Linked DNA regions of Bombyx mori. The protein of the gene in region 2 interacts with the protein of the main gene of each other region in a pairwise test. Links are inferred from orthologs where the notes say so. Each region holds a gene or a part of one and is shown on either strand. Other genes may lie near its edges.

Region 1 (3,450 bases), on a different chromosome or scaffold from region 2:
TAGTAGCTGTATGATTGAAATGATTTTAATAGACCTAGAAATATATATTTTTTGCGCATTGAATATGATTATTGCCTATCATTTATATACAAAGCAGTTATTGTTGCTTAGTCACGTTTGCCTTTAAAACATCGATATGGATTAAATAAATAAAGTAGTGTATCTTAAAAGGAAAATGTATGGACGATTTCTAATGTATTGAAACTCAGTACCTAACTAATTGTGTAGTTTGATTTGTAAATATTGCAGTTAATCCAAAGATTTTAGAAAACTAGCTGTAGTTAGTCATACATGTGACATACTCAGATATTAGTTAACTAGTGTGATACATAATAAATAATGTGACTGTTGTTATGAAACACGAAATAATTTGGAACACTAAAGCATTGCACTATTGATCGAGATACATATTCTCTGTAATGTTCACAAAAATCTGAAACTTATAATAAAATGTTCATTTCCATGTTATCTTTTTTGTTTAATTAGCACCAAACAAGTTATTGAGGTAATTCTTCGTTCATTGGCAAAAGGATAAAAAAAAACATAGTATGCACATTTGATTTATTTACTTAATAAAAAGTATTCCAGTCTCAATATGCAAGCCTATAGTCTTGATCAACCAGCTAATGGATTTGCATGGATTGTGACAGATGTGATCTTGGCTTCTGTCAGTGGTCTAAAAGATTTGGGGTTTACTGGCATCTTCTCTAAATCATCTAATGCTTCAAAACCATCGATTACCCTAAAACAAAGCAAAAGATTACCTAATTGTTTTACTCATTTATTGATCAACTCTGAGTACTTGAACAGAACACATTGTTATAATAGCTAAAAAATATCTTGAAATATTGTGTATATTTCATTTTAAAAATAATGATTTATAACTCATGTATTGGTGAATGAATTTATAAGTCATTCATAAAGTTACACTAACCTTCCATAAATGGTATATTTTAAATCTAGATGAGGTTGTTCTCCATACGTAATGAAAAATTGGCTTCCATTCGTGTTTGGCCCATTATTTGCCATACTAACTACACCTCTTGCGTTATGCTGAAAAAATACTTAGGGGTTATGTGTTTGAAATCATTTTAAATCATGAGTGAAGATTTCAATTTTTTTTGCAAACCTTGAGTTCATCCTTAATTTCATCTTCAAATTTTCTTCCCCAAATAGACGTACCGCCTTTCCCAGTTCCCGTGGGATCACCAGTTTGTACTATAAATCCCTGAACAAATAGAATTTGCATGGAAATTTATTAACTTTACTTCATAACGACCTTTTACTCAATCTTCACAATACTACACTTGAGTTGACTATTATCAAAGCCGACAATCTGACTTTTGGATAATTATTGGTAAATCAGAAAAACGAATTATTGACTTTGTATTCCATTGGCAGTCACAAAACTCTTCGGAACGACATCTTAGATAAATAACAGGTTAACTATTAACCTTTATTTAATGCAGGTTTTGAACCGTATTCTTTGAAGGAGACGATTATATTCAAATCAATCTGTATTGACATACCAATAACATTTTTTTGTCCAAATGCACAGATTGCCACCTTTGATAATAGACGACTCACTTATAAGATTTATTCAAATACCTTTATATTCCTGTGGAATAAACAACCATTATAGTAATCACTTGCACATAGAGCTAGAAAATTCTCACACGCTTTCGGACATTGCTCGCAATATAATTCAATCTTGATATCTCCGACGTCTGTGTGCAAAGTAACTGCCATTGTTTCCAGATTATAACTTATTAATACAATTTTACATAATAAATATTTTGTTTAGATATTGTTATTTTTTTAAGTTATGGACAACTGACGTTGACGTAAAAAGACATTGACCAGTTGACAGTGACAACTTTGTATCGAATTGAAACGAAGGGGAAATGACTGTAGATTAAATCATATTAAACCTTGTTTCACACTAACATTATAAATGTGAAAATGACTTTGTTAAGCTTTCACGTCTTAACTACTCAGTGATCACCATGAAATTTTGCATATACGATGCATATGGGACACAAAAACATAATGGTCAGGATTTAGCATGGTAGTAGATGGCAGATGAACTGACGGCGTTCAGTATCAAATACGTTGTGAACATCTGCGAGTGTAACGTTTTTGCTGAATCTACCAACGAATCGAAATCGCGACCAACTGATAGGAAACAGATTAGTGAGTTGTCCGCAGGTTAAGTCGCACAAGAACGGTGAACGGTGGTTGGAATGCCTGAAAGTACAGATTGGGAAGAACCAAAATGCCGTGCTTAGGTCGACGGCGGCTGTGCGTTGCCCCGTCATCTGTCGGGTAAGCAATTAGAGACGGCCATGATAAGAGGATTTAACATAAACGAAGCCGTATTGTACGAAGTTCGCGTTTATAACGCATATCGGAGCGGTAAAATTCTATTAATTATCTAAGCTTAAGACAAAATCTTATTTTTCATTCTTAGAAATTTCTCTTCAATTAGAAATCTTATATCTTTAAACGAGCAATTCTTGTATATAAATATATAATCTGAATCTCGGAAACGGCTCCAACGATTTTCATAAAATTTAGTATACACGAGATTTCGGGGACGATAAATCAATCTAGCTACGATTTATTTTCAGAAAATGTTGTTTTATTCGTGTTTTTAATAATCAACTTTATCGATAATCAACTTAAACATAAACTTTTTTTTTATTGAAAGAAAATAGCAAATTATATAATATCAATATGTAATTCGTATTTAAATATAATTTCTAAAAAACATCCGTCATTCAGAACATTCATAAAAAACGGTCATCCTCCAGTTGCTCTTAAATGCCGAACGGATTCAAATTGATATTCAAATTTGTGGGAAAGAGACAACGTACTCTCATAAAATATTTATGTATATCGGCAGCATAAATCGCCGAAACATATTTCTGAGAAATTGAGTTTTATTTCTTCAATATACGTACGCATTGCATATATCTTTCAAAATTATACTATTTTTCAATAAGTCTATTCCACGTATCAATCATATTTAAGCCATTCGTTTTTACAAGGTTCGTAATAAAGTTATATTAAATTATGTTAAAATATTTTTTTATTTCAAACTTCATCAGTCACAGAACGTTACATATATTTAAAAAAAAAAATTGTGCAAAGAGTTGTTGGTATGATACGGCAAGTAAGTAGCTATTATTCACTGCCGCCAGCCCGTTCGTTTTGTCCAGCGTGAGGTTCGTGCGTGTTCTCATCCATGCCCTGATCTCCGTAGTTTCCGAGCAGCCTTTGCCCGTGAGGGTCGAAAGGGGATTTGAAGTGAAACGTCGCCTTGTACTTCTGTCCCATCACTTCTATCTCGTAGTTTCCTTCTTTCAAATACTCTTTGGTCACGATCGAGTCTTTGTTCGTAACGTAACCAATCCCTATTGGTTTGTCTAGATAGTGGCCGTAGTCTCC
Region 2 (3,760 bases):
TGGGGTTGGGAGCAAATAAAGCAACGAGGGGCTGATCGGCACTGCGTTGAAATATGGCCGAATCGGCAGCACTTGTTGCACTGGATAATGGGAAGGACATAAACTTCAACTGGGAGAGAAGTAAAAAAGCAGAAAATCCGATTTGGAAGTTTTTGACCAGAGAAAGTTAAAACTACAGATTGGGTAGGTATCCAGGTAGGGACATTATTTTCTATTTTCTTCCTATTCAAGCGGCGTGCTTTAATGACTGCACCGCAGCCAGCAGGAACTTCTACCGATTGGACCAGCTCCTCTAAAGTCCATTCTACTGGAACATCACGCACAATTCCCATTCGTGTAACATTATAAGATGGGATGTTCGCTTCAAATTTAGCCGGCTGAAGTGCTGGGTGTTCTAGAAAAGCGTTAGCCGCAGCAGCAGATTTAAATTCCACTGAAACCCTGTTGCGGCCAATGCGTTTCACACCATCCTGTATTACATTTTTTATGCTGTTTCTGAATAGAAAGTGTCCGAATTTGATGGGTTTCAAGGTGGGACCAGCAGACACATCTGTTACCGTCTTATTAACGTGGACTAAAAAAGGGGCAATGTCATCTTCACAGTATCGGGTCTTACGTTCAACAAAATCGGGATGTGTGTACGTGGACTGAATCGACGGCGAAGTTTGTGAAAGATTAGTAATCGTTTTTTTAGGGGGAATGTTTTCCTCAGACTGTGGTGGTCGTTTTCTGGAATTGGGTGGATCTATATCCATCTGAGAAGAAAAGTTTTGTGAGTGGGGCGCACGTGGTCCTTTATAACCTCCCCCGGGATCGTGCGGGTCATCCATGATTCTTACCTTTTAATAATATAACAAACACAATATATTTACACTCACGGCACAACAGATATATACCAACACCAACACGAATCAGTAGCGCAAGTCAACAGCAATTTAAACAAATAATATTAATTAAAACACCGGGAAACTTCGAAGACACTTGTGTTCACACTCGACGTCACCCCTTTTTTTCTTTACCAGTCTTAGGACTGGCTACATTATTTTCAGTTTTTAGTATTTTGTGTCTTAATTTAAAATTACAAAATATACCAAAAGAGTGTAGATTTCAAAAGTTTAATACAAACACAAGAAATAAACTCAATTTTTGGGATTCAACTAAAAATAGAAAAATGTGTACTTTAAAAATCAAACACAAAAAACTTTTAAGTATTTATAAACACTTGTCCAAAAATTCTAGTTCAAGGTCAAAGCGCATGAAATTAAATTCAACGATGCAAATAGGCTATACTGCATTCAAGTTAGGGTCGAAAGTTGAAACTTCTTTCCTAAATTGTATCCTGCTGATACGCTAAGAATAATCTACAGACATATGGGCTTAATTATAAGGTTTACAATTGTATGGATAATGCCTGTTTCTGTTTCATTCATCACATGATATCCCTATCGTGCGCTCACTCACTCTGGCCGATTCGATACGAACCAAACGAATATTGCTGATATTCACGAATCGGTACGATATGCTGATGCGCATCACATCGAGCAATATCGTGTATCGGCTGATATCGATATATAGATTTCGTGCGGGGCGATATCGGATTCAACGATATTGCTGCGATATATAGATATTGAATCTATATATGTTTTATATCACCCACTCCTAAGTGTGAGTATAAGTTCAGCATTATTGGGAGAACTCATATACTATTCCCAATTTCTTATAAAGTGGAAGTCACATGAAAATACTGCACACCTTTTGATAGAAGACGTCAGCAATAACCTATAGGTTTACATTAGCACTATAGATAATTTTATCTTGTTTACAAATAATTGAAATCATGAATAGGATAAGGTCAAAATCGACAAACCTGTTTCATCAACAGCGGCTGGTGCTGTTCCAGCTTTTCTGGCCTCCTCTAACTCTTTAGCTTTTCTCCAGTCTTCCCTAGATTTCTTCTTGGGCTCATCGTCTTCTTCGGTGTCATCTTTATTGCGTAAAATTTGTGATATAGGTACACGAGACGTCGTCGCCATTGTCTGTACAATATTTTCTTAGTACGTTGTGATTAATTTTATTCACGATTACTTTGGTTGTAGTTTTTGTGATAAAAAAGTCACAAACGAAAACATCAATTTTTGGGTTCACAACTCACTATGTCTTTTCGATCTTTTTTATTTTTGAACTATTTCAACATTAAAAACTGAAGACATAAGTTGTTAGAAGTGTCGATTTTTTTTAATACGCATATCGTGTATGAACTATAATTTTATTTATTACTTTAGCCCACTGCTTTAGCCAGAGAATAATAACTCAAACTCAAAGATTGTGAAGTTTGGATGCACAGAACACTATTTGTTTGGATGTGTCAAATGTGAATGTGTTCTGTACATAGACCTACTTCATTGGTTCTGTAGTTCGATTTTTCCACCTGGAAAGACGCAGGTGTCACCCATTCAGCCAAAACAGATACAGCCAAAAAGATACGGACACGCTCTTTATACACACTACTGGCTGTTTTAAAGAAAGAGTGGCAACAATAGTCCAAAGAAGAATGTTTTAAGTTAATTAGTGGGCCGTTCTTATAGCCTACTTCTAGGATGAACTAATTTATACTTATTTTTTTCCAGTCAACATGCTGAAGCCCGTGGCCGATCTAGGGGTGGTCGTGGTGTCGGTAGAAGTGTCTACACACGTGGTGGAATTTACCCCCAAACCAGTCCTTAGGCCGCTGAACCGTAATTATAAGAGGTCTTACAACTAAATCTTAAAATAAGATACCTTTTTATTTACTTTATTTATTTATTGCATTTGTGGAAGAACTCACAGCCAGCCTGGTGTTAAGTGGTTACCACAGCCCATAGACATCTACAACTTAAATGCCGCCATCCGCCTTGAAATATGATATAAGTTCTAAGGTCTCAGTATAGTTACAACCGCTGCCCCACCCTTCAAACCGAAACGCATTACTGCTTCACGGCAGAAATAGGCAGGGTGGTGGTACCTACCCGTGCGGACGGAAAAGTTCGCACGACCAGTCATTACACAAATTATAATTTTTCGGGTTTGATTTTTATTACACGGTGTTATTTTCTCACCGTGGAAGTCAATCGTAAACATTTGTTAAGTACGTACTTCATTAGAAAAATTGGTACCCGCCTGCGGGATTCCAACTTCCAGTAATGAGGACTGTGGTGGGTTGGCACACGCTCGGCATCAAACTAACTTAATCTGATCCGCTATCGCTCCCGTTTAGCCCGGACTCTACCTCGTCCCCTCAGGATACCGCTGGAGCCATAGATATCGTAACGTCACACATCACCTCGACATTACATAGGCCAACCAAGCAAGTTGTAGTGGAGGATTTTCTTCACCGCTTCAAATTGCCCGACGATGTTAGGGAACTCCATAGAGCCAAGAACGCCTCGATCCGCGCTTACGATAGGTATCCTACCGAGGAAAATAGTATTAGAATGCGTGCCCTACAACGCGACGTAAAGTCTCGCATCGCCGAAGTCCGAGATGCCAGATGGTCTGATTTCTCAGAAGGACTCACGACCTTCCAACGGTCTTTCTACCACTTAGCTCGTAGTCTCAAATCGGATACGTTAGTAACTATGCCCCCCCTCGTAGGCCCCTCAGGCCGACCCGCGGCGTTAGATGACGACGAAAAAGCAGAGCTGCTGGCCGATACATTGCAAACCCAGTGGACGCCCAGCATTCAATCAGCGGACCCTGTCCATGTAGAATTAGTAGACAGTGA

What was found. The genes of interacting proteins can lie anywhere in the genome.
Region 1: the proteins of pre-mRNA-splicing factor Slu7 (region 2) and peptidyl-prolyl cis-trans isomerase-like 3 interact in binary tests that used the Homo sapiens proteins (3 or more experiments, as listed by UniProt). The link is inferred for Bombyx mori from reciprocal best matches to the Homo sapiens genes SLU7 and PPIL3.

Annotation. Positions count from the first base shown.
Region 1 is NC_085121.1:6,437,759-6,441,208, forward strand, and holds peptidyl-prolyl cis-trans isomerase-like 3, read right to left. Parts: upstream 1,870-3,450; 5' UTR 1,750-1,869; coding exon 1,609-1,749; intron 1,229-1,608; coding exon 1,130-1,228; intron 1,054-1,129; coding exon 935-1,053; intron 743-934; coding exon 616-742; 3' UTR 545-615; downstream 1-544. Other genes in the region: sarcosine dehydrogenase, mitochondrial, read right to left, coding at 3,187-3,450. UniProt on the Homo sapiens protein: PPIases accelerate the folding of proteins. It catalyzes the cis-trans isomerization of proline imidic peptide bonds in oligopeptides. May be involved in pre-mRNA splicing.
Region 2 is NC_085129.1:14,361,001-14,364,760, reverse strand, and holds the start of pre-mRNA-splicing factor Slu7, read right to left. Parts: upstream 2,406-3,760; 5' UTR 2,034-2,405; coding exon 1,868-2,033; intron 1,527-1,867; exon of another isoform or gene 840-1,526; intron 1-839. UniProt on the Homo sapiens protein: Required for pre-mRNA splicing as component of the spliceosome. Participates in the second catalytic step of pre-mRNA splicing, when the free hydroxyl group of exon I attacks the 3'-splice site to generate spliced mRNA and the excised lariat intron.